Linked DNA regions of Drosophila melanogaster. The protein of the gene in region 2 interacts with the protein of the main gene of each other region in a pairwise test. Each region holds a gene or a part of one and is shown on either strand. Other genes may lie near its edges.

The links.
Region 1: the proteins of CG13096 (region 2) and Snm1 interact in a two-hybrid assay, tested with the Drosophila melanogaster proteins (one large-scale study listed by BioGRID).
Region 3: the proteins of CG13096 (region 2) and Rassf interact in a two-hybrid assay, tested with the Drosophila melanogaster proteins (one large-scale study listed by BioGRID).
Region 4: the proteins of CG13096 (region 2) and Efa6 interact in a two-hybrid assay, tested with the Drosophila melanogaster proteins (one large-scale study listed by BioGRID).

What each region holds. Positions count from the first base shown.
Region 1 is NT_033777.3:5,551,694-5,559,331, forward strand, and holds Snm1 (Snm1), read left to right. Parts: upstream 1-3,390; 5' UTR 3,391-3,441; coding exon 3,442-4,508; intron 4,509-4,565; coding exon 4,566-5,019; intron 5,020-5,076; coding exon 5,077-5,847; 3' UTR 5,848-6,093; downstream 6,094-7,638. Other genes in the region: Pcmt (Protein-L-isoaspartate (D-aspartate) O-methyltransferase), read right to left, coding at 1,269-1,352, 1,578-1,982, 2,238-2,374, 2,436-2,490; Pi4KIIalpha (phosphatidylinositol 4-kinase II alpha), read right to left, coding at 6,605-6,608, 6,674-6,742, 6,806-7,626.
Region 2 is NT_033779.5:8,507,094-8,514,817, forward strand, and holds CG13096 (uncharacterized protein), read right to left. Parts: upstream 4,774-7,724; 5' UTR 4,676-4,773; coding exon 3,434-4,675; intron 3,086-3,433; coding exon 2,282-3,085; 3' UTR 1,976-2,281; downstream 1-1,975. Other genes in the region: CG13097 (uncharacterized protein), read right to left, coding at 5,500-5,646, 5,753-7,499, 7,567-7,661.
Region 3 is NT_033777.3:23,112,656-23,121,244, reverse strand, and holds Rassf (Ras association family member), read left to right. Parts: upstream 1-3,313; 5' UTR 3,314-3,706; coding exon 3,707-3,746; intron 3,747-3,820; coding exon 3,821-3,915; intron 3,916-3,981; coding exon 3,982-4,164; intron 4,165-4,230; coding exon 4,231-4,419; intron 4,420-4,472; coding exon 4,473-5,893; intron 5,894-5,954; coding exon 5,955-6,281; intron 6,282-6,341; coding exon 6,342-6,446; intron 6,447-6,511; coding exon 6,512-6,572; 3' UTR 6,573-7,231; downstream 7,232-8,589. Other genes in the region: CenB1A (centaurin beta 1A), read right to left, coding at 260-403, 464-628, 691-784, 862-978, 2,404-2,456.
Region 4 is NT_033777.3:22,584,762-22,591,949, reverse strand, and holds the start of Efa6 (exchange factor for Arf 6), read right to left. Parts: upstream 4,196-7,188; 5' UTR 3,670-4,195; coding exon 3,532-3,669; intron 1-3,531. Other genes in the region: btn (buttonless), read left to right, coding at 5,325-5,801; CG6937 (uncharacterized protein), read right to left, coding at 5,887-6,516, 6,580-6,924, 6,992-7,087. UniProt on the Drosophila melanogaster protein: Guanine nucleotide exchange factor for Arf6. Regulates axon growth and branching by inhibiting microtubule polymerisation at the cortex. Together with shot, promotes axonal microtubule bundle integrity.

The DNA.
Region 1 (7,638 bases), on a different chromosome or scaffold from region 2:
AGTGGGCGTGGCAAAAGGTCAAATCTATAGAAATGTACATATATTGTATAATTAATATAAAACAAGAAGGAATGTTATAGTCGAGTTGCCCGACTATCTGATACCCGTTCCTTACCTAGTGTGAATGCGAACGTGAAATTCCATCATTATTCATCATTATAAAAATTGTTCAAAAGTGTGGGCGTGACTTGGTGTCTTTAGGGTGTTAGAGTGGGAGTGGCAAAAAGTTTTTTTCATATCGATAGAAATTTGAACGTCTAATAAAATTGAGAAAAATTTGCTTGAATGTGGCCGTAGCAGTTTTGGGCGGTTGAAGGGAGTTAGAGTGGGCGTGGCAAAAAATCTAGAGAAACTGTATTTTTGCTTAAAATTATTAACACATTTTTCAAAATTGTGGGCGTGACATTTTTGTGCGGTTTGTGGGCGTGCCAACATAGGTCAACAAACTTGCGCTGTGTCGATGTCTCTAGAATGCTGAATCTTAATCTTCTAGCTCTTATAGTTCCTAAGATCCCGTTCATACGGACAGACGGACATGACCAGATCGACTCGGCTATTGATCCTGATCAATAATATATATACTTTATATGGTCGAAAACGCTTCCTTCTGCCTGTTTTCTACTTTTCGAAGAATCTACTTATAGTCTACTTATTTACTCTACGAATAACGGGTATAAACGTAATTTTTTTAAAACATCCTGATTAAATAAATGGTAATGCTGTTCCTGAATGTTTTAGGGACACTTTTGGTGTTTTAGCACTTGATTAAATTGTGACTGATTAAATTATATTTTACGTTCCGGACATCTATAGTTCACTTGTTGGATCTCAATTTATAAATGTCTATGATGGTGAGCTGGTTTGATGAAACAAAGCCAGTCAACTATTTAAAACTTAACCATTCGAAGTATAAGTATTTAATTAATAATATTAAGCACGAATATTTAACAATTATCCTATTCTTCATCACTATTAAAACTAAATCTGTAAATCGGGGAAAAATTCTTAAAGGTGTAGTTAAAATTTATCTCACTACGGACATAAAAAAATTATGATTTCATTAATGTAATATGAAATGTTGAAGCTGCTTGGTAACTTTAAACAAAAAAACGAAAAGACAGCGTTTGTTCGGTAAACTTATATATTTGCACTCAACGTGAAAAAAAGCAATTTAATTTTGATTGATTGATTAACTAGTAAGCCAAAATTAGGTAGAGAAAAAACACGAGCAGCAGCACCGCAACGAGCGACCTTCCCACTCTGTGCAGTCAGGAGCGAAGATCCGTGAGAGGGACGTACATTACGCCCATGAGACGTGTCATCTCCACCTTCCCATTGGCGTCCTTGTCGTACTGTAAAAATGGTTATATTATTATATATTATTATATATTATTATGTATATTATTATATATTATTATGTATATTATTATATATTATTATGTATATTATGATATATATATATTATTATGTATATTATTATATATATATATTATTATGTATATTATTATATATATATATATTATTATTATTACATATACATATTATTCCAGCAGTTATACGAATCAGCATCTGCCCACCTGTTGCATGTACTGAGACCCGCCGTCGGGACCGACTGGAACTATCAGGCGTCCGCCGCTGGCCAGTTGGTTGATGAGTTCGGTGGGTGTGTCGGGAGCAGCTGCTCCTACATGGATTGCATTATACGGGGCGTTCGGGGGGTATCCCTTGCGGCCGTCACCCTCGACGATCAGCAACTGGCCGGAGTCCAGCATGCTACGGTCGTCGGTGTTTAAGTTGGCCTTGCTCCGCCGCACCAGCTCTGCCTGGTGCTCTATGCCCACGATTCGGGTGTCCGCATCAACGCCCTTAGCCTTGATGTAACGATAGAAGCAGGCTGTGAGGTAGCCAGATCCAGAGCCCACATCCAGTATACGTGCACCGGGCTTCAAGTGGTCGCGTAGATACTCCAAGGCGAAGGCATGCTGGGAAAGAAAAATGTATTAATCTCCAGTTTAAAAAGACACTTTACTTTCAGAAATTATAAGAATATGATGGGAAGAAGCTACGGGAGTGAAGAACTAGTCTTCAAATGATGAGCCATTGATATGTTTTTAGTGGATTAAAGAAAGCTACTTTTTTATGCTGCCTCCTAAAAGCATCTTGAGTGTGGGCATTGACTCCCACAGCAAACATGGCGAGCAAACTATTTGTTTTTCAATGTCCTGGCTAGGAGTTACCATGTGAGGAGCACTGATGGTGACACCTCCTCCAATGGGTTGCGGGGCGTCCATGTAGGGGTTGCGCGGAGAGTAGTGCTTGCGGTCGGTTTCCTTCATCGCCTGGGCCACCGCATCACTTGCAATGACGCCGTGATCTTGGGGATTCGGTTCTATTATTAACTCGGCCCATTAAACGGAGCGAATTCAAGGGCTCACCCTTCAGTTGGCGAATCAGGTCTTCATTATTGGCTCCCACGGATCGCCACGCCATGCTGAAGGCGCGGAAGAAGAAGCCCAGTTTACCAATCCGCACCACAAGATTCCCTTTTTCCACCGTCTTGTTGTTTTGTTTAGTTTGTTATAATATTGTACCAGAGGTGGCAGGCCAACGATAACACTGACAAGCAATCGACACATTCAAGCAGTACTCATACATCAACTGAGTTTTGGGTCGTATGTCCTGCATCTAATAAGTTTAACTCCTCTGTTGAATTTATATTGAAATAATATCTGTTGAATATATATAATATCGATAGTTGCATAACATTTTCAGTTCAATAAAAATATCACTGGTCGAACTTTAATAACTAAAAGTGAACATGCTGCTATGTACATGGATATGTAAAACATCTAAACCCGTGCTGTCACTGCTGTGCAGGTAATATTATATTAAAATTATATAAAATATATATACATATATTTTTTTAAACTTTTTTTTTTTAAGTTTAAATCATTTATTATTATGCATTAGGAATCGTTCAGTTCCTTCTGAACTTAACCTAATGTGTAGCTTAAAAGATATTATGGATTCTGTTCCTTAATTATAGTGTACACATATGTACCGTGGAGAGATTATTGTATTCTCTTCAGACGTCGGAGGGAAATAAGGTCGACAAGATCATTCGCCAACGTGTTCGGGTGGGCGCTAAGTCTGTCGGCATATCGGCTGCTGTGGAAGTTTATTTGGTCTCCCAATGGTATGGCTGCGTTTAAGCAATGAATTGCATTTAATCGTGGTCCCTGCCATATTCCTAATCCTTTCCCGAAAATCGTTAAAAAGATTATATATACTTAATTTTTGCTTGAGAGATATGGCGGCAATTTAAATTAAGCGCTTGATTTTAGTATGACCTTGTGCTTTATCGCCTGTCGATATGATAAAAGCGGTTTCTCTGGCAATCGAACCGTGCGATCCTGGCCCTATTTGTTATATGTAAACAGGATGTCCAATGTAGGGAAAATAAAGATAAGATCCATTGCGGATCTGCAGGCCACAGTACGAGTAAATGTAGAACCGGACCCAACGCCCACGATCGAGAACAGAACGCCGGACAAGAAAAGAGCGGGAAGAACTCGTGCGGCTTCCACGACAAAAAAGGTCCGACCAAAGACGGAAGCATGTCCAATCATAGCCAGCACTGCGTTCAAGCGTTCCAGCAAGAAGACTCCGCTGCCAGGACAAATGCGCATCGATAGCTTTTTTACAAGTGCCGTCAAGAACTACAAAGTCAAGTCAAGTTCCTCTTGCAGGAAGGTGGATCCTCCGTTGGACAAGCGAAAGGTATCTACCAAAGGGCGCAAGCGCCTCTTCGAGGAGTCTACAACAACCTCATCTGCCTTTACGGGCAAGCTGGATGCAAAGCCGTCAGAGAAGCGAGTGCAGCCTAGTCGCCGTGCGAAAGGCAAGGAGAACGCTAGCCTCTCCGAAGTGCACGTAATTGACCTGTGCTCCGAGGACGAGCAGACCATAAAAAGAAAGCCATCCGCGATAGCCTCTCCCTGTGAAAAAAGCAGCGATGTCCAAGCAACCAAGTTTAGAACTCCAGAGACTTCCATGCCAGAAGCCAAGCTAAGCAATTCCAGCCTAGACCTAGTGGAAATCTCCCCCGGTCCCAACAAATCCCCAACGAATAACTTTTACCGGTCATCGCCGGCTGCAATCACAAAGGAAAGCCCCCTGGGCAAAAACTCTAAAAAAGGAACTGTACGCAAACAAAGAAAACCAAAGCCTTGTCCGCCCTATAAAGTAGTGGAGGGTACATCCTTCTGCGTCGACGGCTTTCAGTTTGGGGAAATAGAGGGAGTCACACATTACTTTCTCACGCACTTTCATGCGGATCACTACATCGGCCTGACTAAAAAGTTCTGCCATCCCCTCTACGTGAGTCCTATTTCAGCGCGCTTGGTGCGAACGTTTATTAAACTCGATGAAACGCACATTCACGAAATTGATGTGGACCAGACCCTGGACGTAGATGGCGTCCAAGTAACCGCCTTAGAAGCTAACCAGTAAGAGCAGTCGCTTTTTTTTGGCAGCTTACCAAACTGCTATTTCTCACCTTTCAGCTGTCCTGGAGCACTCATGTTCTTCTTCAAACTGAGCTCTGGCGAATGCATACTGCACACCGGGGACTTCCGAGCTAGCGCGGACATGGAATCCCTACCAATCTTCTGGAACCATTCAAACATCGACCTGCTTTATCTGGACACAACGTATATGAACAAAAACTACGACTTCTGCCACCAAAGCGAGAGCGTTGACCGAGCGGTGGATCTGGTGCGCGCCTTCCTAGAGAAAAATGCAGCCAAACGAATCCTTATCGTCTGCGGCTCCTACGTGATAGGAAAGGAGAAGATATGGTTGGCCTTAGCGAAGGAGTTCACAATGAGGGTTTGGACGGAAAGCAATCGCAGCACTGCAGTAAGATGCCTGAATTGGCCGGATCTAGACTCCGTGCTAACAGAAGATCGCAGCGGAGCAAACTTGCACGTCATTGCAATGGGAAAAATCAGCTATCCGGTAAGTGTATTTCTAAAATATATCAATTTTTTAGTTAGCGATATTATTTTGTTTCAGAGCCTAGTCGATTACTTTACTGAATTCGAGGACCAATATGACATGTTGCTGGGCATAAGGCCCAGCGGTTGGGAAAAGAACTCAAAGCCTTCGTACGGCAAGCGAATTAGCACGATCGGCATTGAGTACTCAGAACACTCCAGCTACAAGGAGTTGGAGCGCTTTGTTCGCTTCCTCAAGCCAAAGCGAGTCATAAGCACCGTTCCCGTGGGCCGCGATCTCTATGTCACTGGAGAGGTGCCCATACGGTGGTACAAGTACGAAGGTCGGGCATCTATGCTGCGTACTGGGTTTCAGCCTTCGATATCCACTTTCCTAGCTACGCCGAAGCGAGCTTTTGCAAAATTCAGTGCAGATACTGAAATGTTCTTGAGCCCCGTGGATGAGAATGCTTCCAAAGGGAGTGAAGATAAGAAAGACGATGACCGGGAGTCCGTGGTGCCAACGAATCATGTAACTATTATATCCGACACTCCGGAAGAGTGTTTTCAAACTGATTCCAAGATACCAGTTAAAAACGAGCCTCTGGCACCGGACACGTCACCGAATTCTGAAATAGTTGCACAACTCAATGCGATGGAATCCGAAATTCCATATGTTGAAATAGACATTAAAAACGAAACTATCGCACCTGATGCAGTCCTCATACCTCGTGTCCCAACGGAAGATACATTTCAAAGTACGGATTGCAATGTTATTGGTGTCCAGAAAAGCCAGGCAGTCGTGGTTAGTAGACTGACATCCGATGCATCAGACGATTGGCTCCTGTAGTGATTAAATTTCGGATAAAAAAGTCCTTTGGATTTAAGTATGGCTGCTAGTAGTTTTAAGATATTTTGTTATGAAATAATAAGGTATATACATACTTATGTTCGAAAAGGGCTTTAGTTTCTGTTAAACTTTTATAATGTTTTAATATCTTTTATATAAGGCTTGCCTTTTAAATACTTTACATATGTATTTTGGTTGATATATATATATATTCCCACACTATTTAGTTGCGAACCGTACATAATGAAATAAATTGAGTTTTAGTTTGGAGGAAAGGAAACCATTAAATATGTGCTAATGCTAATAACAATGGGCGACCTTAACTCAAGTGCTAACGAATGTAAATGAGCTTTGTATTTTTCACCTATATGCATTATGATTTCATTCAAATAATAAAGAAATGTATAAACCACTTGAGCGAGTGCTTTAAAATGATCTCCTTCTGATTTCTGCATACTTTATGCGAAAACAATTGACTATACAAGCACTTGACAAACATAAGATATTTCCTAAATATGTAACCATGGTATGGGTAAGTCATCCCAGAAACTAGTAATACAAGTAATTAATTATTGAATATGACCATTTGAGTTTTTTGGCAAAAAATACATTTCTAGGCTCCGTGCTCCGTGATTACGATTTGGAAGTATACTAGACAACAACTAAGCGCATATACATGATGAAAAAGATGAGACTGTAGTAACCGGCTGCTCGATTTGATTTTTGGTGGGGTCGGCAGGGGCTGCTCCATGGTCATTTAGCTAAAAGTGAAGTAAGTGGCTAGTAAGTGACAATGCGACGAAGTACCAATGAATCGGCAACCTACCACCAAGAGAAGAAAGGGCTCTTATTTTGGAAGCGCTGCGTAAAAGAGAAGAAACGACTGCCACTTGATCTGAAATGTTAGAAACCATTATTGGCCTCCTATAATCCGGAGTCATGAAAGTATGATACTTACCGCTCGACAATCACCGCTGGCATCTGGACCAGTTGCACCGGCGACTTGCCATCCCTCAGTGCCTGTGTGAGATTTAGAATCTGGCCCCGCATCACCGACATCTGGCGCTCGAAGAGACGCTTGTCAAAGCCGCGATCCTGCTGGAAGAGGTACAACAACTCCGTGCAGATCTCCTCTACAAAGTTCATATCTGACAACTGCGGCAGCACCTGCTCCTTGATTTCTTCGCTAAACGGAATTTTCGCCTGTGGCAACCAGGCCCAATGGTAGGGATAAGCTCGCCAAGAGTCCGGATGCTTGAAGGGAAAAGCGAGACCATTGTCGATGGCAGCGATCCGAATGAAGGCCGAGTTCACCACATTCCAATCGGGTTCCGACGTAGGGGGGGATCTCGACGAGGGTTCATCTTCGCTGCTGGCCAAACTGCTGCTATCTTGCTGTGCACTTGTGGCTGCTCCACCCGCTAGGTGGTTCGAAGGGCGACCACCAGTAGTCGGTTTCGGGCTAGCCTGCGGCGGCTCGTTTAGGTCAACGATTTTTGAAGCCCCCAACGCATTGGGCAATTTGGGGGTCACAACTCCGTGCATAGTTCTGCCGCCAGTGCCTCCCACCTGGGTCGTGATCTTAGGGGCCACGTACTTGATCAGCCAGTTGTCGTTGCCACGGTCCGTGTTGCGTATGATATAATCGAGCACGACGAGGCGCTCGAACTGCAGTTGGAACGACTTCGCCACTGAAGGCGGCAAGGGTTCGCTTTCAAAGCGCCGCAGCCAATAGTCCGCATCCTTGTAACCCTCCACGAAGAGCTGAAAGGAGCCAGTCTGCAAGGAATT
Region 2 (7,724 bases):
CACACAGTTGGCTACGTTCTGCATCAGTTTATTAATCATCTATTACGCACAATTATCGAAGCGTTTATCGAGCCATTGTCCATCGATCATGACTATCAGCATTGGATTAATCAGCATCTGATAGTTTTCAATTAGTGCCCGCGGATGCGGCAGCTGTCAGCCATCAAATCCAATATAAATCCCCCCCAATATTCCAGATTATTAATAACTTTACGTGCATTATCTCATAATTGGCAGTACATCAGCTATCTCATCGTTCTGCGAAGCAACTCTGACTAATCAGTTGAGAGATTACCATCACAATTATTCGGTTATTTTCGCATGCTCACAATTAGTCGTCCCTAAAAGCCATATATCGTAATGAGATAAGAGACACCATATTGATAAGGAAGTTATATCATTGGCTATATCCGGACTGACTGATGTAAATTGAATGGTTGCTGTTGATATTTGATTATGGCAATCCTAAATAGTAAATAAAGGTTATGTTGCCTACAAAAATATGTTCCATATTCAATAATGGCCACTTCATTGACTTGTGATTATATGATATTTTAAAACTTAGTATAGACCAGTTGTCTAAAATATTATATTCAATATTCAAATTTGCAATCATAAAATATTTTTCAAATTACCACAGACCAATGTGAATTGGAATCCATTAATGTTAAGGAAAGTATCATTTTATAGAGCATTTTCATTGAATTATTTTGACAATTAGTGCTAACGAATTGCAAGTTCTTTTTGTTTTCTAACTCAGCTTAATATACCTTAATCCATGTAAATCCTTTCAGTGACCCACATTTTTTCAGAAGCTAATTCATGTGTACCAAAAGGTTGGCTAGCGGAAATGGGGAAATGCCAAATGCGTATGTAGGGAATCCTAACCGCCCATATCCACATGGAAGTATGCATGTTTATCTGGACAAATACATATATATGGATTTTATGGCAGGCACAGAGAACGCGGCTAATGATAATTTGGGCTGATAAAAGCTTTACAATGTTTTTGTTGCTTCCGACGACGTGTCCGGCTTGGTATTTGGTTTTTGCCATACTTATTCGGCGGTTACCATGAACGTGATTCTAATCTCTGGAGCAGCGACCTTGCCCATGTAAAAAAGCCGCTCAATGGATCTCGCACGATGGAATTGGACAAGACAGCTGGACATATGAACATTCTACTGTCAAAGTTCCGGCGAGTCATGTTAATTAAGAGAAATTATGCAAGCGAATTGCTACTTTTGGTCAACCTACTCATAATACATAATTCGTCAAAGGCGAGACATCAAAGAAATTGCATTTTGCTGTACTCCCACTGGATAGATGGTTCGGAAATGAGGAGTTTTACGAAAAAAATATATATAAAATATATATGCATATAAATCAGTTATTATGAAAATTGAAATTGACTTTGTTGTGTGTACACGTTGCAACTTCCCGCTGAGCAAAGACCGTTGCCATAATGCATATTAGGATTTTATGACCTCAAAGGATGCCACGAAGGGTTGTTGGCATCCACTTTGAGCCGCGATATGTCAACTGGAATTTGCGCCATTTTCCGCGAGCTGGCAATCTGGAAAAGGCATTCAAAATCGGCGACCATAAGGTAAAATGTACATGCTTGATTTCATAGAATGCAGATATGCGTTATGGGTGAATATTCATGGAAATCGATAGCATGCCATTGGGCAATAAGCGATTTTAAATGCGAAATTTGCATACTATAACAACTGCATATGCACAATTGCATAATATATTTTATTTTAATCCTATTTCAATAATGTAATATACAAAGTGCGAGTATGAATTTCCCCAGAATATTAATAATTTTTGATTGTCATGGCAATTAAGTAACATATATGCCTACACAACCATCATGGCGGATAAGTAATATTACATTTGCTTGAATGACAAAAAAATTGGCATTGAGTGATTAAAAAGAGAGAATGAATTAAAGAAAAACAATATATTTGTAGTAGTATAGGAATTTATTGAATTACATCATATGTGGAGCTGATTCTTGATTCTTGTAATGCAGATCCCGCCCAGGGTTCACAACAAAGATCCCAGTGTTCATAGCCAAAAAGAGTCCCGAGCCGCAACCGCGATCGAATGAATGTTACTAAATGAGCGGTTATTAAAAGAGATAAGTTTCCATACTTAAAACATTCGTTTATTATCTAAAACTGTTATAAAAATTGCAAACGGAATTATAGCAAGATTGTTATGCATATATAGAAATACCCTATAATTAACAATGAGCAATGAGACTGACGTATTACTCTTCATCGTCATCATCATCATCGTCTTCCTCGTCATCGTCTTCCTCATCGTCGTCCTCGTCCTCATCGTCATCACCATCTTCATTATCGTCATCGTCATCTTCATCTTCATCTTCATCAGTATCATCGCCATCATGTCCCTCCTCATCCTCATCGCCACTTTCGCCAGCACTGTCCTCTGCCTCCTCAACTTCCTCCTCCTCATCGGATTCTGCATCAGCCTTTGCGCCTTCGCTGCTGGACTCCTTGCGAGCTTTTTTCGCGGGCACTGCTGCGTCCCCGCCATCATTGTCCTTTGGAGCGGCATCAGCAGCCAGCAGTGCAGCCTTCTCTTTGCGCAACTGGGCCTTGCGCTTGACCTGGTCGCTGGTGAGCTTAATGAACTCCGCATCCTTGGTCATGGCAAATTTGGACAGCACCTCATTGGCCTGCTTCTTAAGCTTGAGCATACGCTGCTCGCGAGGACCCACAACATATGGTACATCCTCCGGTGGTGCACACATGCTGACATATAGTGGCAGCGCACTGGTTCCCGTGATATCGATCTTGAGGTACATCGAACGAATGTTGGCCAGTCCACCCGGATAGACTTCCTGGAGCTGCTTGATCACCAGCAGAATGTTCTCAGCCAACTGCTCGGCGGTGATTTCGTGGTTGCCCACCGGAACGGCAATTAGATCTCCCTTTGACAACTGCCTGAATGCGGTGCGGGTGAGGGCGCGGGTCACCTCCTGTGGCAGCTTATCGTTGTCCTTGCTCAGACGCAGTGAGTGGAGCACGTTGCGGGGCTTCTGGGTGTTCTACAAATGGATAAGGCAGTGGTATTGCAAATTTAGAAAATAGTTAATAAATTCTATTAAAGTTCTTCCTAGATTTCTATAAAATCCGCGTAATTCATATGGCTGAATAAAAATACAGTCTCCCGATTTGAAAAATGTTTTACAATTTGGAAGAGAATAACATTTAATATGGCTGGATTAATCTCATTTCATCATAAAACATTGCGAAGGATACCCTGATTCAGAATATATATGAATACCTTAAAAAAATACATACGAATGTTCGCGACCTTCCCACAAGATCTATTTGCGGACAAAAGAAAGATTTGTCTTCCTGGAACCCACTCATTAGCAGGCAGAATTTCTTACCTTGCCCAAAAAGGCAGTAGCCTGTCCTGACAAACGACCGTCGCACAACAGGTAGTCGTAGCTGTTGAGGAACTTGCGCTTGGCCTCAAAGGAACCCATCTCGTTGCGCAGCTGGTTGAATGGAACGACGGTTAGGCGCTGTTTCACACCAGCCTCTCGCAACATATCCTCGTAGTGTTGCTTGGTGGGATCATAGTCAAACTTGGCTCCACGCTGCAAATCTGGCACGATGAGAGCCACATCGTCGTCCTTGCCCACCAACGAATGCTTCAGATTCAACTTGACCATGCGCTTTGGGCAGCTGGGGATCTTGTAGCTGCAAACTTGCAAAACATAGCGGTAATCAGAGAAGATCGAGGTGTTCTTCTTCTTTTCCACCTCCTCGGAGACAACAGACTTCAATGCCGCGCACACCTTCGTCACATTATTTTCATTGACAATCTCGTGGAACCGTTTCTCGTCAAAGGCCTTCAATTCGAAGGTCAGCTCAACTGGTTTTTTAGACTTGGCAGGCTCTTTGTTGACAGCGTTGCCTTTGGCCTGACCAGGCTTGGACTTGCTGAGGGCCTTCTTGGATTTGGGTGGACTGGCAGGCTTAGACAGCTTTTGCACCGCCTTTGCCTTCTTTTGGAGCTGCGAAGCGGGCTGAGCCTTTGCTGGTTTAGCTGGTGCTGCTTGTTTTTCGGTTTTCGCAGTCTTTTTCGTTAGTGCAGCAGTTTGTCCTGACTTTTTAGCTGCAGGAACCTTCTTAATAGAAGGTACGGGATCTTGCACAGACTTCTTTGCTGGTGCTGGCTCTTTTTTGGCTTTCACAGGAGCAGCTTTAGTCTTTTTCTCTTGCTTTTTCGGTGGCACAGGGGATTCTGGAGGAGCCAAAATCAAAGGTTTTTTGGCTTCGATCTTTTTGCCGACCGGAGCCCCAGAAGCGGCCGGCTTTGCCTTAGACTTCTTCGCCGCTGGTGCGGGGGCAGCCGGCGACTCAGGAGGAGCCAAAATTAGTGGGCGCTTGGCCGCTTTTGACTGCTTCTTCTCGGCTCCCTTCTTGGACACCTCCGGCTCCTTCTTGATGGCATCTTTTTTCACCGGAGCCGCGTTCTTTGCCTTTTTGTTGCTGGCCAACTCCAGAGTAGCGTCTGTGGCCAGTTTCTTGGTCTTTTCCGGTTTACCCTTTTTCTTAACCACGCCCTCGATGCTGGCGCTCTTGTTCAGCGACTTGGGCTGCGGTTTCTGTACTTTAACCATATTATTTTTTGCTTTTTTGACAGATGCGTAAAAACTCGAGCAAAACTATATTTAAAATGCACCACAACCACACGTGCTACGCTTTAATATCGATATGTTCAGAATCGCAAAACGTAGCTACAGTCGATATCGGGAACTATTTTCATTACCGATGTCTCAGGCACGGTCACAACTTTAGCCAATACACACCCCCTTCGCAGGGCCGAGCACCAATAGCAGCTGTTTCACCAAAACCGATTGGAAAATTGACCGTTATAGCATATCGATTTCGATTTGTATCCCATCTCTATTTCTCCCTTAGAAGATAAAATTAAATTTTTTAATTTTGTAATGTAATATAGAAATTATGATGATGATTATATGATTGAGTATTTCTACTCTAATCCAACAAAAAAACAAGTGGCTACGTTACTTGCTTTGCTTTCTTTAATTAGGGTACTATTTACATAGCAAACAGTTATTTTAAGTAAATAATTCTAAGAATAGTCAAATTCCGCAAGCTGCACGCGTGCCTAATCGCCTCAACAGGACACAGAATGTCCTTGACTCACACGCCGCCACACACAAAGCGCCCACGCATCACATACACATACGATGGATCCGCGCACATGGAACATTAAAAGTACCGACACATGGCATCTCCCATGGAGCACCAAATTGGGGACTCCCCAGACACACAGTACATGCTAAAGATATTCTTGCAACAAGGATTGCTATGTGGGCATACGTGTGTGCTTGTGACAACTTTCTGGCACGTGACTGGAGACGAGAAAACTTTGCTGGCTTAAGGCAATTACAATATGAAGGAGTCCTAGCGTGTACGTTTAAAGCTTCAGCTTCTTGGCATCCGCCTTGGCGGTATCCTTTTTCGGTCGCTTTTTGGATGCTGTAGCCGCTGCGGTATCCTGCAGTTTGTGGAAGAAAGCCTTTGAGGACTTCAGAGCTCCCTGGTCGTTGCTGCTGGCATTGATCTGCAAGAAAATCGTTTAAAGTTTGATTCATTTAGAATTCAAAATCGCTCAAGAATAGCAATTAAATACAAAACATAAAACAGAGATAAACTAAAATGTTATATACCTTTTGAACATTGCGATTCTTGGTGATTGTCTTGAGCAGCTTGGCATCCGCTTCCTTCTTTGTGGGCGCCTTGCCCTCCTTGGCTCGCTGAAGCTCGCGCTGCTCCAGAGCCGAGTGGATGGCCCGCTGCTTTTGCTTCTTTTTGCGGCGCTCGCGGTTCTTATCCGTTCGATCGCGTTCGGTCTTGCCAAGTGGAGCGTGCTTGGGTCCGCGGAACACCTCCTCGGGTGCCAGCAGCTTGGCATCGCTCACCGCCAGCGGGGCCACCTCTTCCATGTGAACTGCTGGTGTGTTCGTTACGATCTTGATCTCCGGCGCCACCGGTTTCGGCGTGAAGTGGAAATTGGAGAGGGCGTCCAATTTAAGGAATAGGGAACGCATTGCCCGCTTGATTTCTTGGTGTTCTTTCGGTTCCGGACCAGTTTTGTCATCGGCATCGCGATTGGGATCGAGTTTTTCCATTTCGCGCTGATACTGCGCCTCGTAGATCTGCGACAGCGATTGTTTTGATTTCTCCTGGTCAAGCACAAGTTGTTTTCTGTACTCTTGCGGGGTGTTCACCGGTCGCACAGTGCGCTCCACATCGTCCCATGCTTTGTCGCGAATACGCTGCTTAATTATGTCCTCGATGGAGCGGTTATCCTCTTCCGTGATTGGCGCCGTTGGCCTGGTGGTCGAATCGAAGTCGAGAATCTCCTCAAGCAGTGAGTTCTGGGGCCGATTGGCTGCCTTTACTTCGCCTTTGAGCTGCCAAGGCTTCTCGCCTAGGACAATGTCTTCGTAGTCGCGGATGCGTTGAAACAAACGAGCCTCTCTCATCTCATTGGATGATTGGGACGGTGGCTCTGTGGGTTGTGGCTCCTCCTCTTCTTTCTCCGAATCCGAGTCTGAATCGCTGGCAGGTTCTATGCCACTTTTTGCCACGAATTCGGATTCATCTATTTCGCTGGCCGCCTCATCTGGATCTTGATCATTTTCAGGTTCATCATCGCCCTCGTCTCCTTCGCTTTGATCAGAATCGCCCTCTTTGGGATTTGCATCCTCATCCGGTTCATTTTCATTTTCACTCTCGTTTTCATTGAAGAAATCTTTCTGCTTGCCTTTGTTAATCTTTTTAGAATGCTCTGTCAGTTCCTCATTCATGTCAAAGAAGTCCGCATAGTTGACATTCCCCTCCTCATCGTCCTCCTCATCTTCGCCAAGACCAAAATCCTCTGCGAAATGATCTATATCATCGGCCTGCTCAACGCGTTTCTTGCTGTTCAGGCGGCGCATCTCCTTGGCATCCTCCTGCTCCAGGAACTCATTCATCTCTTCCAACTTGAAGAAGGTATCGTCCACCACAGAGTTGCGTAGTCGCTTGTTTCGTTTGTCTTTCGGCGGCGCGGTCTTCTGCTTTTGTAGCCCTCCATCCTCGTCGCTGAAGTCTGATTCCTCATCTTGTTCCTCATCGCCTGAGTCTTCAGCTTGTATTACTTCGTCTTCTTCCTCTATTTCTTCACCATCGTCCAGTTCAATGCCCAGGTGCTGCTCGCGCATCGCCGTCAGCCTGGCGGTTTGCTCCAGCACCTGTTGGAACACTAGTTCGTTGCGAATCTCCAGTTGCTGCCAGATCTGCTCCTCGTCCATTTGCTCCAGCACCAATTCCGGCAGCAGTTCCTTCTTGTTCGCCACATCCTCGCTGATGCTAACGGCGTATGTCTGCTGGATAAGCTGCTCGATGGCATTCACTTGTTCCGGCTGTGGCCTGAAATATAAATTGTTTTGACTACGTTTGAAAAAACACGTGCGCGGTCTTTGGAAGGAAAACAAACTGGAGAAAACGCTCTGGATTCTTGGTCAGCTGCTCGAAGTTCTCTGCGATTTCCTTGAAGACATTCGCCTCCTTGGATTTTTTACTTCCAATCATTTTTACTACTGCTTTCTGTGCTTAATTAAATGAAATATATATTCCAACAATTCGAGCGCAAGA
Region 3 (8,589 bases), on a different chromosome or scaffold from region 2:
CAATCCAGCTCAGCGCACTCCCGATAGACAACTGAGCGAATTGGCCAGCGCACCGACTGACTCAACATGCTGATCATTGGTTTTAGATATGAAACCCATACATGCTCATGTTGATATCACAACAGTGACGTCATAGCAATAACAAACCACTGAAAGTTATTTACTTAGTGGAAGTTGAGCACTTCATTCATGGCATTCATAGCAATCGAACGCCGATAAGCAATACTTTATTGGCAAGCAATACTTGCCCTTTCCTTACCGTGGATAGTATTGAGGGGACCTTGCGAGCCTGCGCTAGCGTTATATAGTTGACATAATCCAGAGCGGTGTGTTGGAAGCACGATTTCGAGGCAGAAAGGATATTGGCAGCCTCCTGCATCTCCTGCGGTCGGTTTTTGCTGGCCTGCAATGCAGAAATCAAGGATAAGGCTATCATATCACCTTTACTGCATGTCCAGCTTACCTGAGCGTTTTTAATCAGCGCATTGTCATAGCCTTCGGAAACCTTGAGAAAATGTCCCTTATAGTCCTTCACCTGGTTAATGTCGTCCTTCACGAACACACTGAGATTTTTAAGCACCGTGCGGCTAGCCTGATCCAAGAGTATGGTGTGGAACTTGTTCATCTCCTGGAAAACAAACAGCACACAAGGTTTATATAGCCCATATAGGATGTCACTGAAGCGATTACCTGGAAGCAGTGAATCAGCTTGCCCAGCGCATTGTGCGCGTTCTTATTGTCGAGAAAGTGCTGTTGTAGATCCCACAGGGACATGGCAAAGGCGCTAAAAAGTCGAGAATATGGCGAATCGATGCCAATGAATATGAATGAGCTAGGATAATGGCGCAGTGTGTTGTTTACCTCTGGTTCTTGACATACTCCTTGCCCGAGTCCACGGCCACATTGCACAGCTTGATGATTTTCTCCAAGCGCTGCTCCAAGTGCTCGATGTCGCTCTCCTCCTTGGAAACAAATTGTCTGCGGGGCGAGAAGCACAAAAAAAAAAACAAATCGAAAACGTTAGCACAATATCGTCGAGATGTAAACAAAAGATGGGCATCGGCTTGCGAGTGAGCTGGTGATTAAAATCGTCTTTGACTGGCTGAGCAGAGTAAACATAATCAACCAGCTTAATCAAAGAAGTTATCGCGGGGGCAGCGGATGATCCGACGCTCTCACTCTGCCTCTGTTTATGTTGACACTTTTAATTTATGCGGACTTATTAAAGCGCTGTTTGCTCTTCCAATTGAACACGAGTCGCCACCAAGTGAAGAAGGAGGAGGATACCCCATCTCTGGGGACAAGTTTTTGTATCACTCTGTTGCGTCTTCTTCGGGTTTTTCTCGTCTTTTTCCCCTGTGTCATCCATCGATTTGTCGGGCATTGCTTTTGTTTTAACTTTGTGTTTATTTTCTTGGACGTACTCGTTCCAGAGGCTAGCTACATGGTAATTTCGAATGGAGGTCTGTCTATTTCAGCAGTCAATTCATTCTGAGAGTGGCTTTGAAAAGTCGTATTCCGTGATAATATTGCTATCATACACAGTTTTCATTTTAAACTAATGGCTTTCGAAAGCTTCATATATCTTCAAATATGTGTTCGTCATTCAAACGATTGAGCCAAATGCACAATGAGTTGAAGTTTTTGATAAAAAATAAATCGTTTAATTCTACTTAAAACTGGAAACTAGTTTAAGCTAGTTTAAAAAAATGCATAACATTGATACATTTTACTATGGTTGCGATAATATCTGCCTAGTTCTGAAGCAATAGAAATGTCCTACTTTACAGATCCTTAGATTTCTTATTTTTTATATGCATGGCAGAAAAGTTCACATATGATTCACATAATTTATTGTAGTGTACTTCGGTTTCGAAACACCAAGGTCAAGTTGGCACTTCCACAAATGATAAAAGAACCGAAGTGCAGGAGAATCCAAGATAGTCTTGATTTCCTGTTTTCTTTCAAGTGAAGCTGCTGCAGGTGCGAAAAAGTGGGGAAGATGTGATGGGGCTGCTGGGCAAACAAGTTATCGCCGCGTTTGTGCACCGTTTTACGAGGGAAAGCTTTTGTCTTTGGACACGATTAGTGGAGAAGCGGCAATTTGGGTGAAATCTTATCAATCAGCGGCGGGCATTGAAGCGTTCGCGGACGGAGACGAGAGCATCGGCAATTTAATTGCGGAAATAAAGGGGCAGGCAGGCACATTCCACACTGCTGACGGGACAAAGTTTGTTCGATGGATGATTAAGCCGCGTTTTCAGGTGGAGCAGGTGGGGCGGTGTTGGGCTGTATCTGGTTTTGGATAGTAACCAGTCACGCTACATGGAGCAATTCGAATCTCACGCCAAATGCGGCTCAGGATGGGCACACAGTGGGGGCGGGGCTGCAGCTTATATGCACCTGAATCTGGGAGAATCCTTCAGGCACTCCTCGAACTCGATGGTGGCGCGCATTTTGGCCACCACGCAAGCAGCACCTAGACTGCACTGCTGGCTATTTCGCTACGCTAATTGAGGCCCGTGAATCTTTGTTGGCCTGTTGCTGCTGCTCTGCTTTGCTTTGCTTTCCTTGCTGAAGTGGGGATTTCGATGCGCGATTTTCGAGGGCGGCTCTGGGAGAAGCTAATTGCGGGCAGCAGGAGATATGGTGATTAGTCGCATCCTTGGCAATCGACGGCTACACACGTTGAGCACTGGCCCTAATTAGCGAAACTCGCCAATTTACGCGATTCGGGGCCGAATTTACCAAATTTACACAGCGCGCAGAGACAACAAATTAAAACGTCTCACTTTCTACTAGAGCAGATCGGTGTGCCCGCACTCGCAGCGAAAACAAATCTAGCAGCGCGAATGGTCACACACTTTGGCGGGCTTATTTGCTTTTGCTCATATCTTTTAAAATTTTAAATGTATTGAATGCTTAGTGTTTTCCTTGTGCTGATTTTCGTTTTAAAACTCGATTAGTTACGAAGATTTCAATTCAAAGGCATAAAACAACGCACATTGACATTGTCAGCACGGTTTATCAGTGTTGGAAACTTTTGTAGCTAAGAAGAAGCTAATTAGGAACTTAAATTCCCTAAAAGAAGATACAGCCCAAAAAAGATTTGGGTTCTAGCCATAATCAATGTAGATGTATTTAAAGTACAAACGATGACAATTTTAAACACCAAAACAAGCAAATCCGTTTCAAGCTACCGCCAGCCAAGTCAAATCTAGCTACAAAACAGATCAGCTGACAGCACCGCTGGATTTTAGGGTGCCCGCCTTGTGCGACAAGAATCCGCGGCCAGTGCTGCACAAGTGCCATTTTTCATTTCATTGTTCTGTTCTCTTTCTGCTGGTGCTGTTTTGGTTTAAGTGCAATTATCCACACAAGTACGCACCGAAAACCGATGCACCTGCACCGTGCACCAAGTGTGGGAGTGCCCAGTGCCAGTTTCATTTATAAAACTATGAGTTTCGCACGGCAACCAGCGCAGCTGACCGACTGACCGATCAGAGTCTCACGTCCCCCCTCGCCTCATGTGTTTACCCCTTGTCCAGCGTTCTATTTGCGTTTCGTGTCCGCTTTAAATCGCCTCATTTGCATACAACTCGACGGCTTTACGTCACAACTCTTTAAAATCGGCGAAGTAGAGGAGGAGGAGTGAAACACGCCCATTCCCGGAGGAAGCATTAGACCGACCTGTTTGGAATCCAGAATGTGGAAGTGCCACAAGTGCGGCAAACCCGTTTACTTCGGTAATGCACCCACACACGAGCGCATTGCGATCCGTAAATAACTTGTAAATTATATTTATTTATGCCCCGCACAGCGGAACGTAAACAATCGATCGGCTACGATTGGCATCCGGAATGTTTGCGCTGCGAGGAATGCGGCAAACGCTTAAATCCCGGCCAGCATGCTGAGGTAGGAGGATCACCTGTTAGTTAGCCGATCATGTGATCTATATAAAGCCTTTTGTTTTCCTTTCAGCACAAAAGTGTGCCCTACTGCCATGTGCCCTGCTATGGCGCCCTGTTTGGACCCCAGTTGTTTGGCCACGGCACCCGGGTGGAATCGCACAAAAGCTATGGGGTGAAGGGAGCCCAGAAGCCAACCGGAGCTCAGGCCAATGGCCCGCCACTCCCACGTGATCACCTGGAGTCCAAACTTAAGGTGCAGAACGCAATACCCAGACATATCAATATCTCATGACTCACCAAATTCCCTTTTAATGGGCAGGTCTACAACCAATTCTACGACAACAAAAGCCTGGAGATACGTAGTCGTGAGGTCAACAACCGGTTGGTGCTGGAAGGCGCGCTTAGAGTTTACTGGGGCGTGCAGGGAGTGATTCATCTCAAGGAGGACGATGATCAGCGCATCTTAGTGCGCAAAAGGAACTCTTGCCGTGTGTCCAAGGCTGCCAATGTAAGCTGAATCTATAACATAACAAAACGTTATTTATACAATTGTACCCACAGGAAAGCAGTTCGGATAAGGAAAACGAAGCTAGCGAATCGCTGGCTCCGCCCACCACCACCACAGCCGAGGTCGATCAACTATCCACGGATGTTTCCCTTTCCGAGAGCATGACCTTCGACTCCTGTAGCCTGAACGAGATCTCCGAGTTGCCCACAACCCCAGAAGATGCCTCGGCCAACACCACAGCCAACAGCAAAGAGCAGACCAATGGTAATGTGTGCAACGACGACGAGGATACGACCACGACGGACTCATCTGGAACCCTGGTGGAGGCTCCTACTGCCAGCACAAGTTGTGTGTCCAGCACATTGCCTTCGAAGTTGGACCGTCTGGAAAAACTGGATTGGGACGACATAGACGATCTGCTGCAGGTAGAGAGACGTCACAACGACAAGGATCGCATTTATGAAACTATGCCTGTCAAACTGCCGTCGTCGCAATCCTCCAGCGACAGTTCGCCCAGCAAAACATCCACAGAGACCACTACGACCACTGAATCAAGCTCGACTCAATCGGCATCAACAAACACCAGCAGCACGGATGATTTTATGACCGCCACGGGATCGTTGACTGCCAACACCAATACGCAGAATACAACAACGGTGTCTACTACTGAGACCTCTCTGGATAACTTCGAGACTTGCGATGACGCTACCCTGAAGCCTATTGATTTCGAGGACTTTAAGCGTAGTGTCCACCAGGACTATGTAAATGGGGCCAACTCCTTTACGGAGCCCAATGAGGGCACCCTTAAGCGTAATCAACCAATTGATCCCTCTCGCATTCACGACTCCCTTAAGCTCTACGGCGAGAATTCAGCGATGAGCAAAAGCTTTAATTGTGAGCATGCATTGCGGTCAATAGATCCCACTTTAATCAACGACACCATGAATCTGCGCAGTAGTGTGGGCTCTCCTCACTCCGCACAGCGTCAGTACGCCTTACAAAAGAGTGGATCGGCCACAGTAACCAGCAGGGATCAAAAGAAGCCATATCAACAGGGGCGGCAGTTGTTCGAAAAGGGCATCAACCGCTCCAAATCGGGACCCAGCTGTTTTGTGTACTCCGACAGCGATGACGACGACGAGGCCACGCTGCGTCCCCAACGTATGGCCACCATTCGACGCAGCGACATACCTCAGCGGTACATACAAATCCAGATGGACTGTTATCCCAAAGAGAATGTGGCTGCTGCTAGCGAAGGTGAGTCAAGTCGGGCAGATGCTCCATCCATAACCAGTGGTGCAGCGGCCGGCGATGAGCTTACGCAAACCGAGGATTTGTACACTGCAAGCGAGGGCGTTGATGGTCCAGACGGAGATGGATCGGCTGGGTTGCATGTGACGGAAGATGGAGTTGTGCTGAGAAGACCTCCACGCACAGGAGCTTCTGCCATCAAGCGACGAAGTGGCAATCGTCGGTAAGTTACTGAAACTTTTAATGAAGAAATTGTGTTGTAATTCCAACTTCTTAATCAATAGTTCTCGTACCAAGCTGAAACGTCGGTGCTCTATCAATGGTCACTACTACAATCGGGAGACGTCGTTTTTCACGCCGCCCTACGGTTCTCAAATGTCAGTGTGGGTCTCCTCGATGGTGACCACCACTGAGGTTATCAACTTGGTGCTGGAGAAATACAAGGTGGACAGTTCGCCTGGCAATTTTTCACTCTTCATTGTTCGCGACAATGGTGAACAGAAACGTCTCAAGGACGACGAATATCCTTTGATAACGCGCGTCACTTTGGGACCTCATGAGGATGTGGCTCGTATATTTTTAGTGGATTCTCGCAAAACTGATGAAATCAGGCAAGTTATAACACTCCTTTTCAATAGAAGTTTGCTTACGTTTCTTTTGCATCGCTGCAGTAATGAAGTTGCTCAATTTTTGAATTTATCTTTGCCCGAGTGCCGTGCTATTCTGGAGCGCTACGACCAGGAACTGGCCCGCGAAGTGGCCAAAATAAAGGAAAGGTGGGTTTTAAAAAATAATTTTACATCCCAAGACTTTGCATTGAAAGAGAATTACTTTTCCGCAGATACGCCGAATTGCGACGTCGTATTGTCAGTCGCATGGAATCTCTGAAAGTGCATTTGTAAAACGTAAATGAAACCTCTGGCATAAGAGCAATTTTTTATTAGCCATAACATGAATGCGGCCAAAAAAGAAGTGTCGGCAGCAGCACAGCTAATAGTATTCACGTTTTTATACGAGATATATATTTTTATGTAGAATCTAGAGAAAATTACGAACTAGCAAACATTAGGCGCCCAGTGAACAAAAAGCAGCTGCTGCTCGTCGCAAAATACATATACATACATTACGTTTAGGGTTCGATTCTTCCCAGCCGAAACTAACAATCAATTCCAGGCATTTCCATTCGTTTAGAAAGCGTTTAAGACTTGTAACTAACCAAAAAATAATTATTAATCCACAACATTACCATACAGTTTTTTGTTTTATGTTAATAATCAATGTATGTGCTTTATGCAGTCACGTTAAAAGCGTTGTCATTCATGTATCTATTGTACAATGTTTAGCTTTTAAGCCGTGACATGAAGCACAGGTCCTGCTAGTAGCGTGTAGTTGAAAGCCATTTTATCGAGTCATTGAACAAATGTGTGAAAATCAATTTGATTAGAAATCGCAATGCCTGCGAAACAATAAGAATAACTGTGCACATACTTCATATTGCATAACATGGACTTGTTGATTGAAAATCATTTGGAAATCCAATAAAATGAAAATTTTACAACAGAATCGCCGCCTCTTTCGGTGACCAGCCAAGCGGAGTTTAAGGCCCCATGGTCGCCAACAAATTCCGGCAAGTAACGCGTCCCTAGTGCAAAGGGGCGAACCTAAAGGCGGCAGCAGTAGCAGAAAGTGTGAGCCGAATATTCAAAAAAGGCAGCAACCGGCGCCAGCCGTCCGTGCCCAAATGGGGATCAAGTGGAGGTGGACCTCTAGCCCCCCCCCCACACACACACACACACATACACACACTAGGGTGGGGGCAAACCGATGCCCTGTCCTGGCCAAAGCAGCCATCAAAGCACAAGTCAATGATGCCATTATAATAGAGAAACGACGGAGGAGCAGCGCGGAAATAGCGACGAGGACGAAAGTAGGCAAGCACTGGCTCACTCACATAATAAATGCACACCCCACAGCGGCACAGAGTGAGTGTGTGTGCGTGGCTATTAATTTGAAACTGACAGAGCCTACGGGTCTCCATTCCGGCTACAACGTGGTTGGGACTCCGCAACAACTACAGGACCGTGCCAGCGTTGGCCAGCCTTTGAGACGATCCGATGCTGATGCTGACGCGTTAAATGGTTTTGGGGTTTCCCGGCCAACAGCAGCCGCGCTGGCCTGGTCCAAGTGTGCCAAGCGCCAATACATAAAAATCAACAGCCAGCGACACTCGGCAAAAAAAGAAGAAGACTCAAGTCCATTTGGGATGCGAAGTCGCATTGGGCGCCAGTGGCAGGTTCACGACCCGCTGCCTTGGCTCCAGCAATTATCGCCTAAGAGCATTGCGAATCCGCATTCCAGAGCTCTGGCCATGTTGGCGGCCCTAAGAGAGTCCACAAAAATCGATTTTAAGCCATTTCTAGTCGCTATTCGCCTTGTTGGTGGTGGCATTCTGGAAGGGCCTGGCAGTTGTTGCGCCAACGGCAAGGGGGTGGTGGCTATGTGAGAGCGAGGACACATTGCGCATACGCAGTGGGTTACACTGGAAAAAAGGTCATAGAAGTGGAAGTACACAATTTACTTACAGATACTTTCGTTTAGTTAACATGACTTTAAAGTGCTTAAAAATATGAAAGCTAATATTTAATATGTGTTAAGATTTTGATTCTAAACTATTTTGAAACATAATTCAAATGATTCACTCGCCAAATGCGATGTGACAACCCTGCTGGTGTCCAGGCATTCCAGTGACTCTCTTAGCGCATCCTTTCGCGCTCTTAGGCCTCGGAACTGGTGTCGCAAAATTCCAATGGTGGCTGTCACTTAGCAGCTCGTCTTCGTAGGCGCTCAGTTTACGTTTCGGCCGCGTCGCCTTCAGTTCCCCAGTGTTTCGTGACCAGGCTGCACTTCATCCGCGGAGGC
Region 4 (7,188 bases), on a different chromosome or scaffold from region 2:
GCTACAAATTTCGCAGGAGGCGCAAAAAAAACAGGCAACCTAAAATGCCATGGAGGTATACACAACTGATGTTCTAAAGGTTTTGTATTTTATTTTGTCCCGTTTGCGATTTTATGTTTGCCCTAAAAACAAAAAGAAGTGAAGTATTAAATTCTTTTCCTCGAACAGCTGGGCAAAAAAGTAATTTTGAGTGGCGAGCGAGGAGAGAGCAAATCACTTGGCAACCCAAAAGATTAATGACTAAACGAATATAAATAATTTCGAAAAACATCAACAACTAGTTGTGTATTTGCTATTTGATCATGAGTGTTTGGCATGGAGTTTCGCCCAAGCATTCAATGTTTGTTTTTAAATAGATATATCATATGGCTAAAGTTTTGAAAAAGCACAATAAGATATTTATAAATGGGTTTTAATGTAGAATCTATCTAGTGCGCATAGACATTTATATAAATCGACTAGATTTAAAGGCGTAACTGCTTTAGCGCAATTAATGCAATACAATTTGCCACTCAGCCACCTCGGAACGCAGATACTTTTGTCGTCTGGCGAGTGTGTGGAGTATACTTGATGTATCTGAAGAAGTGGGAAAATAAACAAACGTGCGGTAAATGCATTCAGAAATGACAACAAACAGAGAGCAGCAACTGCGAAGAGGCAGGGAACTTAGCTAAAGAAAAGCCAGGCAAAGAAAATGGGAAATGGAAAAGCGAAGGCGACAAAAGACAACCGACGACAGCGTACACACACACATGCAACATACATACATACACACAATTTGTACACACCCAGTTGAGAAGAGCGTGTGTGCATGTGTTTGTGCATTCATTGAAAAATAAAATTGTACCGCAACCAGAATGACGGCATATAAAAAGTAAAATTAATTGCATTCGAGGAGCCGACGCATTGGTTACTCATTAGTTTTTATGTCTTACAGGGTGCGGTCTTGAAAAAGCAACTAATTACAGATGGTATGCTTTGTAAATGAGAGTTATTTACAGTTGAAGGTGCTAAGTTTAAAAATGAGGCAGAAAAATTCTGTATATAACGTTTATAAGGCAACGTGGAGCGTAACCGATACCCTAAATAATACAATTTCTTAGGAACTCAATATGATATTTTTCTGTTATAGCTCGGCTCATAAATATCAAATCAATTGAATTGAAAATTATAAATATTGTTTTTAAACACCCTAGGTGCCAAGATACTCTGGAGCACCCACTTTATAAGCAGTGTGTGCATAGATACACATGTATGTAGATAGAAGACAAGTCAAACAGCCCCAAAACAAGCCGGGCAACAAAAATAACAACAAGTTGTAAGCGAAAGCGATAAGAAATTGAAAAAGTGCGTGCCGCTGCATCCACATCAACACACACACACATATACATATGTATTATGTATATATATAGATACATGTCCATATGTCGATGTCAGTTCGTTGCCTCAAGAAAATTACCGCGATGCAATTGTGTTGCTTTCCATCATACCTGTGTGGCTTGTGTGGAATTACTTAATAATCTCAACAATTTAAAATTCCCAACGCGTTTTTTTGCACTCTGCTTTCACGCATTTCGATTTGTTTTCTGTTGTTTTGTTTGTTCGAGACCAAGTTTTTGTGGTTTTTTGTGTTTTGGTGGTCGGGCGCATAAATTTAACAACCAAAGCTGGAGAATTCTGTTTGGGTTTTCGTGTAAATCGTTTTATTTTATTATTATTTTTTTTTTTTTGTTGCCACGTCCGATAATTACAAAGTAAGTCGGAGGCTTTATGTGTGTGTTAGCATCGGCCTGAGTAAGTTTATTTATAAATTGTTGTCTTTGCATTGCTTTTTATAGCGCTGCATTTGCATTCTGTCGATTTGTTAACTTTGCGTTGCAACTCTTTCGAATCGCAGTTGCATGGGGAAATTAATAACAATTGAAATGGGCCCCACGTAAAGTCCATTCTTATCCAATATCCGCTGGGTGCGTTCATCGAAGAATCCCATTCTGAGAAATCCAGATTGGTAATAGCTACCAAAAGGTGACTATTCTCTATGAATTGTATACTAAATTTACTTAGATAAGATAAATGGTGCGGATGGGCTTTTTCAAGAGAAATTCTATAATACTTTCCGAGTCTCTGATATTACAATATATGTAGATATTTTTAAAATGAACAAAACGCTTTCTGCTGGTTATATCATGAGAATTCCGATTCGATTAAATTGACAATAAATTGATCTTTACACAGCAAAAACAATCGAACAGTAAACATATCAGCATTTTATTGAAAAGAAAGACAAATTATTTGCCTTATTTTGTTCGCTATATTTACACGCTTTGTTTTCTTTTGCACTCGGCTCTAAACATTCGAGATGCGATGCGATGACAGTAAATAGTAAATAAAAGCAAAACAAGCCTGAAAATTGATACACTGGCTTTTGTGTGAGACTACCCGCCCCTCGCCCCCTTCCAGCGCCCTTCCACCCATCAATTAAAGCAACGATGACATCACGAGCGGCAAACAATGATGACACGCCAACGGAGGACTCTCATTTGCGCTTTTCTCGCTTTTTTCGCTTTTTTTTTGTTGCCGTTGTGCAAATTGAAATGCTTTCACATACGCCAGCAGACAGCCATGGTCATCACCATAAAAAAAAGAAGTGGAAAAGTGGAAAATATTCTTATCAGCAGCCGAGGGGCGAGTCTCGGTCGCTTTGCACACAATCCAACTTCCAAAACTCAAGCCACCAGCTGCCATAAAAAATCGTACTTATCTATGTATGTACATACATACATACATATGTACGTATGCACTTTGCGTCAGATAAAACGTCATGAATAATTTGTTTTCCGTTTGAATGCTTATGTAACGGCAGTTGGACGGTATACAAATCCTTCAAAAATTTTAAAACGGTGCTGAAATCACACAATTTGTTATTGCACTTCTCTAAAATCTCCTTAAAATTCCCTGAAAAGCACAAAATTCCAGGGAAAAATGCGTATTGCAGAACAGCAATCTTAACTAGAAACTGGCATGATTTCTATGAATTTTGTCAATTGTCAATTTTTTGTCAATTCTCTAAAATCTCCTTAATATTCCCTGAAAAGCACAAAATTCCAGGGAAAAATGAGTATTGCAGAACAGCAATCTTAACTAGAAACTGGCATGATTTCTATGAATTTTGTCAATTTTGCCAGCTACGTATTTCCATTTAATGATCTTTAATAAATTCCGCTATTGGGCGGTGTGCCTTGTCGAGGCTCTACTGTAGTCTAAAATGTGGCGTTGCCAAAAGTGAGCCCAGCAAGGGAGCTGTTGCTTCTGCTTCTTCGCTGGCTGCTTCCAGTGCCCGGTGGTTGATGAAGTCATTGGTAGAGGTGGTCGGAGGTCACCGGTGGGTGGATATGAGGGGGTGGCATGGGCCGCTCGGTGTGAGGACTCCGCCAGTCCTCCTGTCCCAGACGGGAATGGAATGACACACAGCACACACAAAGGCGCAGAGGAGCTGCAACTGCGGTGTGCTGTTGTGTTTGCTTCACTTACCGCTCCGCAATCGGCTGCCGGCGAATTCTCGACGATGTCGTAGATGACATGTGGCGGTCCGGTGGTTCCGAGTAGCGAAAACCCGAAACCGGAATGCTGCTCGCTGCGCCGCAGCACCACTTTCAGTTCCTCGCTCATTTTGGGTCCTTCGGCGTCCTGCTGCCGATCGGTTCACACTCTTTTCACCGAGTTTTCGTTTGGTTGGTTGGCGGTGTGGGTGGGTAACCCCTGGGCGTGATTAATCCTTTGGGCGACGGCCACTTTTCTTAGTCGCTTTAATTAATTCTCGCTGTTTTGGGCTTGGCCAACTTCATTTGCACACTCTCATTTTGTTTTCACTCTTTCCACTTCACAACATGCACACAAACACACACGCTCACAAACACTCATACACGCACTCACGGATGACGATTTGAAAAAAAGAATGAAACTCCTTGGCGAATTTGTTTAAACATTAAACATTATTGCATTTGCTGCGCTGCTTCTTCTTCTACTTCGTTGGCTTTCTTTCCACGCAATTCTGCGTTCCACGCAAACGAAACTTGTTTAATTCGCCCGTCTGCTTCTCGCTTCGTTTCTTTATGTCGCTTTTGTCCGACTGTTTCGCCGCCGCTTAGCGGTTCGCGGGGGGTTTTAGCCGCACATATTTTGGCGAATGTGGATGCCCAGATATCGCAGATTGTACTAAATGATTGTAAATTGTAAATTGTACTATTGCACTGGGGATGGGAAGCATAAAAGTATTAATATATCGATAGATATCGGAAAGTATTTCTACCGTTGCTTCATTTCTATCGATAGATATATTTAAACCTCTTGTATACTTTTTCTAGATTAAATGAGATTTATTAGCTGACAAAGGAAAATTAAAAGAAATATATGAATAAATCTAGCCAAACAATAACTACACAGCGAAGGACAACAGATATCACTGAATGCCCTTTGGAATGTCATAGTCTGGCAACACTTGAAATGTGCCTATGCCTTAACCAAAAAAGATTACCCAACACTTATTCAGTTTGAAAATAAATGCGGATAATTTAAAACCGGAACCGGTTAATTTTCATATACCGGTATATTATTTAATAAAAACTCAAATAAAAAAGGGTATACCTAAGCCCCAAGAAAAATAAGCAGAAGCTAGAATTTACGTTTTTGCTGTGTCCATTTTATAATTGGTTTCATAATAGGATATCAAAATTTTTTGATTTCTTTTCTAATTTCTAAAACCCCCGTAAGACTTATTTTATTGAACTATTTTATCCCTTAACCATTTCTGTGACACGCACTTATTTCCCCATTAATTATTATATAAAACTCCACTTTGTCATGGATTATCTAGGAATATACACTCAATGGTCACTCGTAATCCGCCGCATCGACTTTAAAAGCGCGTGCAATTGCGACTTTCAGATAAATCTCCGACTGGGTCTTACGACTCGCCGACGGTTGTCTATTAAAATTTTATAGCTCCGCAGTTGGTGGCACAAAGCACTTGACTCATGCGTCCACTTCCGTTTCTGACCGGACGCCTGGGGAAGGGGCTGGGAATCGGATTCGGGTTTGTTGTGACAACAGTTCGTAGGCAAAGACAACAAGCCGATCTGCGGGTGTCATAACCACTCATACCCGAGGTCCAGATGTTGCGCACAATTATCATATCAGCAGCACATCATTTGCGACTAAGTGAAAAAGCAGATTGGCCTGGCACACTCTGCGCCTTGTTTAAAAAGCAGCTCCGCCGAATCTGAGATTTCAGTAATAGTTTAGACCTAGAAGCAAAGACATCGGCAATGAAGAACTCCCACGCGAACGTCTACCAAGAATCCTATTGCTACGAGGATATTACGAAATCGTGGCTGAACCAAACGGAGGGCTATACGGACTGCAGCTATGTATATGACCACAGTGCGTCTTCTTCCTACGCGGATTACAATAAACTAGAAACTAATTGGTGCAACGAAGCGAACGATCAATGGTTACAAAATGAGGCACCTACTGGTCAAGAACTTCCAAGCCAAAGGTCCAAACTCCGGGCAATCAGCTCGAATCGCAAGGAACGCACAGCATTTTCAAAAACGCAGCTCAAGCAGCTGGAAGCGGAGTTCTGCTATTCCAACTATTTGACTCGCTTGCGTCGCTACGAAATCGCAGTGGCGCTGGAGCTGACCGAACGCCAGGTGAAGGTGTGGTTCCAAAATCGACGCATGAAGTGCAAGCGCATCAAACTGGAGGAGCAGCAAGGCAGCTCGGCCAAAACGCCATTTTAGTTTGTACAAGGACATATTTTAACACAATTCATCTTACAAAATGTTTTCGCTTACTTAACAACTATAGTAAATGTATTTTAAGCTACTACTTGGATTTCTTGGCCTTTCCCTTGGGCAAGGGTTTGGCCAGCGACTTGGCTGCGGCCAGCTGCAACTTCTGGGTGGCGGCATTCTTGTTGCTCTTAGCCGGCGGAGCTATTTTCTTCTTCTGCACACCACCAGTGCCGGGCTTGCGTTTCAGTTTATCAGCCAGCTTAGTCTTTTTCTGCTTGGGCGGCGGTGATAAATCCTCCTCTTCGTCGCTGTCATCGCTGGTCTGCTCACTGTCCGCTTGCTCCTCCTCAGCCTCCAGATCGGACTCATCATCGGATGCATCAACGTAGTCCTCATCATCGGAGTCCTCGTTGATGGTGTTGCCCAGCAAATCCTCCAGCGTTGGTTCTTTCTTCGCGGCCGTTTTTTGTTTCTTACCGGCTTTCTTGGCGGCTGCCTGGCTTGTAGATGCCTCAGCGGAGCCTGCTGCTTTCTTTACTGGTTCCACCAGTAAGTTGGAGAAGTCGATGCCCAGATCCTTGTACTTCTCCTGCAGCTTCTTGATCTTGTTGAGATTGGCCACGGTGCGCTTCTGGCAGGCGGACTCATCCCAGTTATTCTGCTTTTTCACGCTGCGCTGTGTGGCTTTGGTTAAATCCGAGACATAGATTTCCTTGCCGGCCTGCAAGTGAAGTACAACTATGAATAACAAACGGACATTAGATGTATTTCCCTTTGAACGCACCTTATTGACAACCTTCTTCAAGGAAGTCCTGAAGAAGTTGAGTGTCTGCTTCTCTGGTGGAATGTAGGTGGCCTTCACCACCTTCTGGAACATCAGGTAGTTGTCCATGGTGTCGGCAGCCACCTTGGCCACCTCCGGGTACTCGAACTCCACGAAGGCGTAGCCCTTGCTGTTACCGGTGCGCAGCGAACGGGCCAAACGGACGCGCAGCACCCGACCGAACTGTCGGAAGTACTGGCGCAGCTGCTGCTCGAAGAATCCGTGAGGCAGGTGCTTCACAATGACCACGCCGCGTTCTGGACCCTTTGGCTTCTGCGGCCTGGCCTTGGTCACCTTTTTCTTTAGCTAAAATGGACGCAGTTTACGGTTATCCAACCCAACGGAGGAGCATTTGTTTTTGGTAGCCGCTCACCTGTCCGGAAACCACATTCTTGGCTGCATCGATGGGCTTTTTGGGCGTGCTTTGCTTCTCGATCTTCTGCGCCTTGGGCTTCTTAACAGGCGGCATTTTAATTAGTGTCAATTCACTAAAATTGATTATTAAAGTAGTAAATGAATAAAAATCGCCGCACGTGGAGCAACAATAATGGTATGACCGTTTACGTTCAT